3 linked regions of the Oryza sativa Japonica Group genome follow. The protein of the gene in region 2 interacts with the protein of the main gene of each other region in a pairwise test. Links are inferred from orthologs where the notes say so. Each region holds a gene or a part of one and is shown on either strand. Other genes may lie near its edges.

What was found.
Region 1: the proteins of protein TIFY 10b (region 2) and scarecrow-like protein 23 interact in binary tests that used the Arabidopsis thaliana proteins (3 or more experiments, as listed by UniProt). The link is inferred for Oryza sativa Japonica Group from reciprocal best matches to the Arabidopsis thaliana genes JAZ1 and AT5G41920.
Region 3: the proteins of protein TIFY 10b (region 2) and histone deacetylase 6 interact in binary tests that used the Arabidopsis thaliana proteins (3 or more experiments, as listed by UniProt). The link is inferred for Oryza sativa Japonica Group from reciprocal best matches to the Arabidopsis thaliana genes JAZ1 and HDA6.

What each region holds. Positions count from the first base shown.
Region 1 is NC_089041.1:23,033,336-23,037,454, forward strand, and holds the start of scarecrow-like protein 23, read left to right. Parts: upstream 1-1,277; 5' UTR 1,278-3,872; coding exon 3,873-4,119. UniProt on the Arabidopsis thaliana protein: Probable transcription factor involved in plant development.
Region 2 is NC_089041.1:25,571,827-25,575,847, reverse strand, and holds protein TIFY 10b, read right to left. Parts: upstream 2,765-4,021; 5' UTR 2,507-2,764; coding exon 2,374-2,506; intron 2,236-2,373; coding exon 2,085-2,235; intron 1,565-2,084; coding exon 1,302-1,564; intron 1,194-1,301; coding exon 1,136-1,193; intron 1,040-1,135; coding exon 910-1,039; 3' UTR 504-909; downstream 1-503.
Region 3 is NC_089042.1:15,629,431-15,633,802, forward strand, and holds the start of histone deacetylase 6, read left to right. Parts: upstream 1-1,510; 5' UTR 1,511-1,582; coding exon 1,583-2,125; intron 2,126-4,127; coding exon 4,128-4,372. UniProt on the Arabidopsis thaliana protein: Responsible for the deacetylation of lysine residues on the N-terminal part of the core histones (H2A, H2B, H3 and H4). Might remove acetyl residues only from specific targets, such as rDNA repeats or complex transgenes.

The sequences.
Region 1 (4,119 bases), about 2.5 Mb from region 2:
TTAGGTTTGACCAGATTTATAGAAAATTTAGTAACATATATAACACCAAATTAGTCTCATTTTAATATAAATTAAATATGTTTGATTTTTGTGAGAAATATTGTTATATGTTTTTATAAATCTAGTCAAAATTAAAAAGAGTTTAACTATAAAATGTTTAAAATGACTTATATAATATGAAATAGATGGAGTACTAGTTTAATCCCTAACAACTGGCATCTTTTCCCCACCTACTAGTTTAGTTTTACTATTTTATTCTCGTAACCATCACTTATTGATTTTGTACTATGCATTGTCCTTTTGCCACTTCCTATATTATGGGAGGAAGGGAGTATCCCTTGGCCACAAAACCAGACATGAAGATTCCCCAACTGGTTCATTTGTCTCTCTGAGCAATTTAAATGGTCGTTTCATCCTGCAGGGCACGTTGACACAGTTTTCTCAATGTACCACCTCGGGTGGCATCACAATCAGAAAAAGAATAAAAAACAATAGGATCTAGTCATCGTCTTCCTCTACCTCTCCATTCATTCCATATCTCTTCCACTCTCCGCAGCCTTCCTCCTTCCTCCCTCTCCCATCTCTCTAGGGGAAGTGATGGTGAGTGCGGACCGTGTGTGCCGCTTAGTGTGCCTATTTGCCTTTATTTGCTGTTCATCCTCCGTGTGACTGTTATTACAGACGAGTATGGAGGTAGTATCGAGGAGGCCTGAGTGGACAGGATAATCCCAGCGATGTGGCAGAGCTCAAGCTATCCTACATGGTGGCAACAGTGTGTGGAAAAGATAGTGGCAGTGGAGACAATTGTCTCCAAGCCTCACCCCGGCGATGAATTCCCTTAAAGGGAAAATGAGACAGAGGATAGGGAATTCCTTATGTCCCCAATGACTTAGTTGCTCAGATCTAGGTGGCATCGAGACAGCGGTTTTTCACGGAGACGGTGATAACGTCCCGCAACTTCTCTTGCTTGAGAGGTGGGGACCGCTTGCCACTGCTAGGGAGAAGCCGTTGTCTCCGATCTACTCCAAAGAGGAGCTTGAGTTCCGCAGCACAAATCAACGTCGGTATTGTTGTTGTCGGAGAGAAGACACGAGGGAGAATGGCACGTTGGTCATGTTTTAGAGATTAAAGAGGGATTGTTTTCAGTGTCACTAGCATGTGGTTCAATTGGAGTTTTTTACTTTTACTCTTTTTTTTATTTTTCTGATTGTAATGTCGCGTAATTGCCATCATGAATGAAGACCAAATCAACGTGACACATAGTTGACGTGTTAGCTGAAACCGCCTTATAAACCAATAAGGAAGATAAATTGATCCGGGTTTCATAGTTGAGGGAGCACCTATATTTGATTTTACTATTGTAATTGGACTTGAACTATAGCTGAGAGAGGTGAAGTGGACTTTTTCCTGCTGAGATTAGCCAAGTTCACGTGCATTCGGCCCCGAGTCTGGCTCTGCTCATTTTTGGGGCTTTGGAATTGGAAAGGAAAGGAAAAAAATACACCGAAGGTCCCTCAACTTGTTATCGAGTTACGAAATCGTCCTCCAACTGTAAAACCGAATATCCGGCGTCCCTTAACTAATCAAAACCGGTCACAATAGATCCTTCGGTGGTTTTGTCCCTGGTTTTGTCCTACGTGGCGGCTGAGTCAGCGTGTGACCCACGTGGGCCCCACATGTCAGGAGCCCAGGTCATCTCACTTCCTTTCTCTTCCTCTCTCTCTCCCCTCACTCTTTTCTTCTCTTCTCTGGGATGGAGTTCATGGCACGGCGGACAACGGAGGTTGACTGTAGGCTGGTCCCACGCCGCGGCTCCGCCACACTCGCTCGACAGTCCACGCCGGCACGGTGTGTGCCTAAAGCCACCGCACCACCCGAGGCAGCTCAGGCGCGCCACCTCCTCCAGATCCACGCCCAGTTCGTTGCGTCCGGCCTCCTCGCCGACGCCTTCGCCACTAGCCGCCTCATCCTCTTCACCACCTCCACCCGCCTCCTCCCGCTCCCGTTCCACCACTCGCTCCGCCTCGCCCCGTCGTTCTGCGCAGCCCGAGCCAACGAGAGCGGCGAGCAACCGCTCGGGCAAAGCCCGCTCGAGGCCGAGCAGCAGCCGCCGCCGCAGCCGCGGGGAGGGGACGGAGGGAGCAAGGACGCCACCGCCGTCGCGCCACGTCCGGGCCTGGCAGGGAGGGAACGGGGAGAGCGAGGACGCCGTCGTCGTCACGCCGCGTCGGGGTCTGGTGGGGAGGGGACGGGGAGAACGAGGCTGCTGCCGTCGCGCCGCGTCGGGGCCTGGCGGGGAGGGAACGGGGAGAGCGAGGACGCCGCCGCCATCGCGCACGCAGCTCCATCGTTTCTCGTTCCCCAACCTCAGCTGGGGCAACCACCGCCTCCTCCGCTGCTCCAAGAACCCCGCCTCATCGCCTCCACCCGCGGTGCCGGACACCCCGTCGCCGGACAAGGAGAAGACCGCCCACAGCTCCACTGACGGCGTCGGCGTCGGCAGTTTGCCTCAGCGGGGTCCGCAACGGCCGTGGAACCTCCGCACCTGCCGCTCTGCCACCGCCGCACCGTGTCCAGAGGGATTGGACGATGCGGCTGATGCCGCGCTGGAGTGAGCGCCGCCGCCGCTGGCGACGACCAAGAAGCGGGTGTCCTCCAACGTGCTGTCCGAGGAGATCGCCCATGTCTTCAAGACGATAATAGGGGAAAGACAGAGGAATTGAGGGTGCCATGACGTGGCTACTCTGACATGTGGGGTCCACGTGGGTCCCATATTGATTCAGTTGCCACGTAGGACAAAACCGGGATCAAAACCGCTTGAGGATGTAAAGTGACCGGTTTCGAAAATTGAGGGATGTCATATATCTAATTTTATGGTTGGGGGACGATTTTGTAACTCGATGACAAGTTGAGGGACCTTCGGAGCACTTTTTCCAATTGGAAACCTAACCAAAAATATCACAAAGGGCCCATTTGGATTCACTGTTACGGTTTTACCATTGCCTGAACTGTACTCTCGTTGTTCAGTTTGGTAGTTGAGTTGACAGCGGGGATCCGCCGACGCCGCACACCGTCTTTTCCTGTGGCGACATGCATCGCACAGTGACGAGCCAGTCAGTACCCAGTACAGAAACCGCGCGGCTCACGGGGGAAAACCCACCAATCGCGACATCATCAACGACGCTGGTAAAAAACCCAGTACAAGTACACAACCTTCTCACATCGCAGGAGATCAACCAGACAACCAACCAGCCGGGCCAGCGCTCTACAGACTAGTACAGACTACAGAGATCGGCAAGGCTGCATGCTGGAACCAGAGACGCTGACGCCCCACTCCACCACCGATCGATCGCTGGTATCCGAGGGGGAGGTTTTGTCCGTCCCCTCGTCCCCCGCACTGTTCGCGCTCGCTCGCCCGCTGCTCTGCTCGTCTCTTCCACCATCAAATGATCACATGCTGTCCATCAACTCACCCCCGTCGTCTCGTGTGCGTGCAGCTTTCCCCCACGGCCTCCTGCTGCTGCCGACCCGACCCGACCTAGCGTCCCTCGCCATCGCGCGATCGTGAGAAAAATCGGGTGTTATTGTGTAGTAGAAAAAAAAACCGGTCCCGTCCTTTGATTCCCTCTGCCTGGGCGCCGCCCGCTACGGGACGCGAGAGCAGCTACCAGCAACCCGACAAACCGCACAGGCGGCCTCCCCCTCCCGCGCGCGCCAGCGTCCAACGCTAACGGCGACCCGCGCCTCTCTCACAGTGTCTCTCCCGCTAGCGTTATCATCATCAGCTGCGGGCTTGCTATGCTATGCTTGCTTGTTGCAGTGGTTTTGCCACGGAGAAGGGTCACCGGGAAATTATTGTTTAGGCTGACGTGATGCTCCAGGGAGTCCTGTCGCGAGCTCCCGGCGCCGACGCGGCAGCGATGAAGGCGAAGCGCGCGGCCGACGACGAGGAGGAAGGCGGCGAGCGGGAGCGCGCGCGTGGGAAGCGGCTGGCTGCTGAGGGGAAGCAAGGGTTAGTGGTGGTGAGTACGGGGGAGGAGGAGGAGGCGGCGGCGGAGACGCGTGGGCTGCGGCTGCTTAGTTTGTTGCTGAGGTGTGCGGAGGCGGTGGCGATGGACC
Region 2 (4,021 bases):
CTGTTGTTTTGCTCTTCATGCTTTGCTTTGCTTTAGCTGTCAAACAAGAATCCTATCAACTCATCTCCACCCCCAATTTCTCACATGTGCTCATATCTTTTGATTAAAGAATTGGGCATGGGGTGACAAGTCTTGCCTTGTGCACCTTCCTTCGCAAAACCCTTATCTTCAGCTTGACAGTGCCATCCAACCTACCCCAGGCTGCCTCCTGTGCTGCCCTGTATCCCCTTTGCATGATGATAAAATATATAGCTACAAAACAGAAAAGATTCATAGGCAATCACTAATAATTGTGTTTGTGGAACATCAAATATTCCATTAGTTTGTAGTTTGTGTATGTAGTTATTATTTTATGCTAAATAATGAGGTTTGCATTTAAGAAAAAATGAAAACGCGTCAAGAAAAGGAAAAAAGAAAGTCCAAGAGCAAATTGACTCTGCAGGCACATATAATGGGGACCAAATAATGCAGACATATTGGAGGAGGACCAAGCCAATAAGCCATGTAACAGAAATCAACAATAGGAATATGAATTATATTCTGAATCCATTACAATCACTTTGCTTTGCATAGAGCAAGGCTAGAGCCAAGGACAAAGCCAGATGATCAGAATTTCAGAAGATACATATATGTTTCCTTTGCAATAACTTTTTACCTTAGCATGGCCATTTTCAGAGTCACCATGTGTTAACATGCCAAAACTTCTCTCAGGCTCTCGGCACTGGTCGTCAATGCTACTACCTTTTTCCTTTACATTCAGAACTATGTGACAAGTGAACAACATAGAAGCACGAACTAAAGAAAAAACACTAAAACATGGGGTATGAGAGAACATATATGATTTGGTACTCTAACGGCAAGCGCATTTCATATATTTTTGAAGAGCTTTGGTGAAGTTTCCATGCAACCTCATTGGCCGCGTTCTATGGGCTTCACGACGGCGTTCGGCCCTAGTCCGAGCCATGGCTGGCTCTCAGGCTCCTTCTTGACTGGGGTTGCATCTGAAGGAGAAGCCTGGTATGGCGTCTTTGCATTAAGACTGTGACAACAAAAGGCGCATATTAGATCCATGAACTGCAGTGATCAAAATACTGAACTTAAACATCATGCAAATCATCACAGCAAAACAACTTACCGATCCTTTCTCTTCTCAAGGAACCTGTGGAGTGATGCCTTCCTAGCAATAGGCATATCTACACAGAAAAAAAGAGGTCACTTGATAACTGCTACAACAAAATTCAACTGGTTATGCGTTCAATACCCCGACAGACATGAACATCAAGAAAGGGCAGAGTAATTACCAGAAGCATTCGCGCGAGCAGGCTTCTGAGCATCGGCCTGAGCTGTAGGCAAGCTACTGACCGGGGCCGGCACGGCCATAGGGGCCTTGGTGTTGTCTGTAACAGCTGCTGGTGCAGGTGCCGCGGCATTCTGAGGAGCCACCGGGCTGCCCTTGCTAGCCAGCTGCATCAAGCCCTTTGCCTTGTCGGCTGGGAAGTCGTTGAACACGAGCACCTTCCCACCATAGAAGATGGTCAGCTGACGCTTCTCAGGCTCTTGTTCCCTGAAATTCATTTGCACAGAGAACACTATGAACACCTGGGATACCAGTATATCACCCCTCCAATTCTGCACCATCTGACTAACTCTATTTTCACCGGCAAGCATAAAAAGGGTTCTTTTTGAAACTACGTTTTCAGTGCCCCAGTTTAAACAAAAAAAAAACCCTAAGTTTGGGGTTAAAATTTTCTATTAACAAAGATAGGTAAAGTTTTTATAGATCCATTAACAACTCCCTGAAGTCTGAATGACCTAGTAACTCTGCTTGCCTAATTCCAATTAGTATCTGAACCCAAAGCAAAAAACAACAAAATGTTTACTCATAACCCTCTCTCCCCTCAACTAGATTTGATACCAAAAACAGTGGCTTCAACCTATTGAGGCACTTACAGCTAAGTTTTGTAGACTGCAAAATTTGTCATTTCTCTGCGTGATTCCAAGAACTAGGACACACACACACATACACCTAAGGAGCAGGAACTGCACAAAAATGAAGCAGAGAACCAAGTGGCATGGCCCCATACCTAGCATCAGCAGCAGAATCGGCGGTGATGGCATCCTGCTGGCCAAAGCCGGCGCTCTGCGGGAAGAGCTCCATGGTCTCCTTCTTCCTCTCCGCCTCCCCGGGCAGCAAGCTCATCGTCGCCGGCGCCGCCCTCGGAGCCTCACCCTCACCTGGAACCGAACCAAAACCCCAAACCTTGTGATCAGATCTCAACACGAAACCGAAGCTGAAGATGAAGATCCAACCAAGCCGAAGCACACCCACAAAAAAAGGGATGAGTTCTTTTTTTTTTCCCTTCTCCTCCTCACCTCTGATGCCGAGGCCGAGCTCGGCGGCGGCGGCGCCGTTCTGGCGGACGTAGCGGCTGAGCAGGCTGCACGCCATGGCGAAGCTCGTCGCCCTCTCCCCGCCGACGCCGACGGGCCTCGCGGAAGCCGCCATCTCTCCAAGCTCCCTTCCTAACTACCCGGCGTCGATCCAATCTCTCCTCCCCGCCGCTCGCCGCGCCGTTCTTGCTGCACCACCCCGGCTCGTCGTCGCCTCGCCGCCGTCCAGCTACCTCCGATTCCTCCTCTCGCCTTCCTGCCGCTGCTGCTAGTGGTTGAGCTGCGAGAGCGAGAGCTAGAGAGAGAGAGGCTCGTGCGCGAGCGTTTATAAGCAAGGAGAGGAGACGGAGACGACGCAGCCGCTGCGGTTTCTGGTCACCACTCAATTCGATTCAATTTAACCTCGCGGATTTTCTTTCTTCCCATTTTTTTCTTCTCCTAATTACCTACTTCCTCCCTCCAAAAAAAACAAACCCTATATATTTTCGTGTCCAACTTTAACTGTCCGTCTTGTATGAAATTTTTTTATAATTCTTTTAAATAAAAAAATATTATTAATATTTTATGTGTGACTTGTCTTTTTAATTTTTTTCATAATTTTTTTAAATAAGACGGACGGTCAAACGTTGGGCATGGAAGCCAGGGTGTCTTTTTTTTTTGGGACGGAGGGAGTACTCCGTACTGGAATAAGTTAATCTAACACAATGTGACATATTGTAGTAATACAAATATGTCTAAATTTATAGTATTATTACGATATGTTTATCCCATAATTTAATTTGGAATGGAGAAAATAGTTGCTCTCTTCGTTCCAAAATACTACTTATAAATTACCTTTTACCTTATCTCAATTATTACCACTGGATTCATCTCTATCCAACTTTGTTATTATATCATAATAAGAGTACTACGTTTTAGAACGAAGGGAGTTACATCTGTTCTAGAAATATACTCCCCCTGTCTCATAATATAGCAACCAATGATGAACACCATCAATCATTGGTTGTTATATTCTGAGACAGATGGAGTAAATAATTATAAAATAGATAGATGATGAACACCATCAATCATTGGTTGTTATATTCTGAGACAGATGGAGTAAATAATTATAAAATAGATAGATGGTACCCTAGCGTCTTAAAAAAAATTCAATTCTAGCTACGAATTTAGACACGTATGTAAGCTACGAATATATGCGTGTCTAGATTCGTAGCTAAAGTTTATCTTTTTTTAGACATAGTAGTAGGTATTAAGAAAGTAAGTAAAATTTATTGGAGAAATATTATGATTTGTTGAGATAAAAAATAAGATGAATGAAATAAATGGACGAGGGTTGTGAACTTTGTGATGGGTTAGAAGGATATTGATGGATAAATAGGTTTACTATAGAAGAATATTTTGTTATTACAAGTAACTGTATTTTGGAACGGAGTAACAGATTTCTTCTTTTAAATATTATTTTATTCAATTCGGTATCATTTCGCGGGCTGGGGGGGACGATGCGAGTACTAAATGCGCGGATTCCGCACGTGGTTCGTGTGCGGAGCGAGGGGGTGGTGGGCCCCACCGCGACTGCTCCCCTCCCCCTCCTCTTTTAAATATTCTCCGGATTTATTTTATAGCGATTTTT
Region 3 (4,372 bases), on a different chromosome or scaffold from region 2:
TATGTATCATTTACGAGAGAAACAAATTGTTGTTTCATTAAAGTAGAATACCTTCAATATTTTCCAAGCACTTTTATAAAATTATATGCTCCTCTTACATTTATAATTTCTGGTTGAACCTTACATTCTACAAGTACACCATAGTTCAAGCAATGGTTGTTATGCATTAATTCTCTACTAGTACTAATAACTTATTGTTGTAAAAAAAGCATAATATGTGATGCAAGTAGGACGACATGCATATTTGTATACTCCCTCCGTTACATAAAAAACGAATCTAAAACCATATGTGACATATTCTAATACTATAAATCTGGATATATGTATGTCCAGATTTGTAGTCCTACGATGTGTTACATCCGGTACTAGGTTGGTTTCTTTGGATGAAGGGAGTATGTGAGTATTTTTCATAACAAATTTATAAATATCATTTTTTACATACTAAATATTAATGTTTTATTCTTTTCATGTATTAATGATGCATGCCATTTGTTTGCGGAAGGAAATGGTATTATACTTGATGGTTTGCAACTTCATATGTTTCCTTCACCAGACAACTCTTTGCATACATATATAGTATACCATAAGGAACATTTATGTTTATTTTACCAACATGTCAAGTAAAGTAGGTGATAATATCTTCGAGCTGTTTTCTAACATCTCTTTTCTTACCTATTTATTCACTGTCTATTTCTACTGATTATGTTTTAGTTTCTATAATGGGAACTAATGGCCAAATTCTCTCATCACTTCCTACATTTTTTTCTTCGTGTGCCTTATTTCACTAAACAACTGCAAAATTTCTTTCCTAGTTAGCCTCCAACAAACTGCAATGGCAAACACTACCACGAGAAAAAACACATTGCTCGAGGACATATTGGTCATCCTCGACCAACGGTAACATCACATATTATATTACTAAAAGTCAAAAGATTATATTGCAAACATCTCTACAAGTAACGCTTGCATTAAATTGTATGGGTTTAAAGCAATGCTTCCTTTGCAAGAGAAACATATGGCTATTTCGGCATAAAAAAGAATTTCATCATCTATTTTCCAAACAAGTAAGAAAATAAAATTTTGGTCCTCCTAACTATTGCGATTAGTTTTAGTCCAACCCAGGATTATTTCACTACCACTATTCACCATTGTAAAAATCCTATCATATACTCATCCGTTCCGAAATATAAAGTGTTTCCTGTAAAAAAATATAAGTATTTCTAGATAGATTCTCTACCCGACATCTATTAGCTTTGAAATCATTAAAATGATGAAAACTATGAAACCCAAAAATCCTTATATTTTGAATAAAAAGGTAAAAATTACAATAATATGCCATTTTTTCAAAAAAAAAGTTAATGCAAAATGTCGAAAAATAACCAATGCAGAAAACCTATAAATTCTATGACGTGTAGGGTGAAAAGGAAAAAAAGAAGGGAAAAACTGAATCCCTCTGTCCCTCCCGTCTCCTTGCCTTGGCTATAAACCCCCGGAAACCACAAGGCAGAGAGAAGGTCCTTCCCTTCCCACAAGGGGAAAAAAGGGGAAAAAAAAAAGAAAAGAGAAGAAGAAATCCTCCGAAATGGCGGCGTCCGGCGAGGGGGCGTCGCTGGCGTCGGCGGCGGGAGGGGAGGACGGGCGGCGGCGGCGGGTGAGCTACTTCTACGAGCCGTCGATCGGGGACTACTACTACGGGCAGGGGCACCCGATGAAGCCCCATCGCATCCGCATGGCGCACTCGCTGGTGGTCCACTACGGCCTCCACCGCCTCCTCGAGCTCTCCCGCCCCTACCCGGCCTCCGACGCCGACATCCGCCGCTTCCACTCCGACGACTACGTCGCCTTCCTCGCCTCCGCCACCGGGAACCCCGCCCTGCTCGACGCCCGCGCCGTCAAGCGCTTCAACGTCGGCGAGGACTGCCCGGTCTTCGACGGCCTCTTCCCCTTCTGCCAGGCCTCCGCGGGGGGCAGCATCGGCGCCGCCGTCAAGCTCAACCGCGGCGACGCCGACATCACCGTCAACTGGGCGGGGGGCCTCCACCACGCCAAGAAGGGCGAGGCCTCCGGCTTCTGCTACGTCAACGACATCGTCCTCGCCATCCTCGAGCTCCTCAAGTTCCACAGGGTATGCCTTTGTTTTGTTGGGATGCTTGCCTTGGTTGTGTTGTGTACCTGTCCTGTGATCGGAGGAGGAGGAGGGGCATTACGATTTGGAGGTCGTTGTCTAAATTTAGATGCGAATTGGAATGGTTCCCGCTGATGGACGCGAATATTTGAGTGCATTGGGTTTGTGTTTCGGTTTAGTTTTTATTTTTTAGTGCGTGGTGAAGAAGATGCTAAGACTTGGGGAGGGATTTGGTGGTTTGACTTCCAACACTGCGAGGAGAAATTACTATTGTTCGGATGCCTGATTAGGTGATTGTAGAAATTTAAAGGGCTCTATCTCTTTCTGTGAGTGCATGCACGCGTTCATGCTCGTGTGTTTGTTTAATCTTGCAATAGGATTCCATATTTGCTTTCAGTGTTAATTGTTTGTTTTCATTGGATTTAGATATATGAATGATTTCTATGTTTTTACCTGGCCCGACATATTTGAGGAAGTTTGAAACAAATGGTGCATTTTGGGGATTTTGCTGAGTTTTTATGAGCGGAGGTTGCTTATGTTACTAGTGACATTATGGGCATGGTTATTGTCTTAATGTTGTCCAACATTTTATTTGTGAATGCTTAGATAGTTAGATTGATCAACATTAAATACAGCTGGTTGAGTTGTCTATAAAAATTTAAAAATGCTTTCAGAATATTATAACTTGGTTGGGATGTACAAAATATGTTCGAACACAAATCAGCTCAAGGCTGCATGTTAGAAGCCTTAACAACACCCAAAAAAACTGTGTGACCGAATAAAGTAGTTATCATCTTTTCTTTTATAAATCAGCTTTGCAGCCACATTCCTAGTGATTTTGCAGCTAAATTTTAACTAGTTTGTATATTTATTGAGTGTGTGATATTACTGTTCATATGGTTACTTTTTCTGTCAGTAAGTTGTTTATCTGATTTGATTATTAGGTATTGGCATTAGTTTTAACTGAAAAGAAGGTGACATAGATGTGATGTGAAATGGTTAATATGGCCAATCTTACTGGGATGTATCTTTAATGGTCCATTCATCCATTGTTAGCAAGAATATTTTTTTTCTGTGATGTGAACTAACATGTATATCCTAAATGGAATTTTTATATGCATGGATTGTTTTGGAATATGTGGTATTGCTGGTGATATAGTTGTGTTGGTTACTTTACTGCTAGACAACATTTTCTTTTTGATATGCATGCAGCATTAATCTTTGTGATTTGGACTTTTTGGAACCATCTGTTGATTGTTTTCTGACCATTTATCAGTAACTCAGTCCAGTATTACTTTCACAGATACTTCATCCAGTTTGTTGCTCATATGACTGGCTTTAATGTAATTATTCGCATCTATTTACAATAAATGTTGCTGCTGAAATATCATGATCTATATGTGTACCTTTCACTTGTAATTCATTTAGTACTACTCCCTCCATTTAAGGTTATATGATGTTTTGACTTTGGTCAAAGTCAAACTGTTTTAAGTTTGACTAAGTTTATAGAAAAATATAGTAATATTTATAATACTAAATTAGTTTCATCAAATCAATAATTGAATATATTTTCATAACAAGTTTGTCTTGGGTTGAAAATGTTACTACTTTTTTCTACAAACTTGGTCAAACTTAAAGCAGTTTGACTTTGACAAAGTCAAAACGTCTTATAACCTGAAACGGAGGGAGTAATTATTTACCATTCCTGGAGAACTGTTTTAGATACCGTACTTTCCAATATAATAAGTCCTGAACATATCTTTTAAATTTTTTAATCACCAGGCTTAATAAAATTTGGAAGGCATGTGTTGCAAACTTATTCAGCATCGTGATCCATGTTTCATCAAGCTTTAGTGTGTTGATTGTGGAATACATCAAGAATTTCATCTTGGCTTTCTAAACCACAACTGCACTTCTCTGATGCTATTGAATATTGCTGCTGCTACAACAGTCCTATGGCTACCTAATTTTTCTGATAGTTATCATTCTTCTTTTGTTGTAGCGTGTGCTATATGTAGACATTGATGTCCACCATGGAGATGGCGTGGAGGAAGCTTTCTTCACTACGAATCGAGTCATGACTTGTTCCTTTCACAAGTATGGGGACTTTTTCCCTGGTACTGGGCATATCACTGATGTTGGAGCAGGCGAAGGAAAACATTATGCTTTAAATGTGCCCCTGAGTGATGGCATTGATGATGATACCTTTCGTGATCTGTTCCAGTGCATCATCAAAAAGGTAATGGA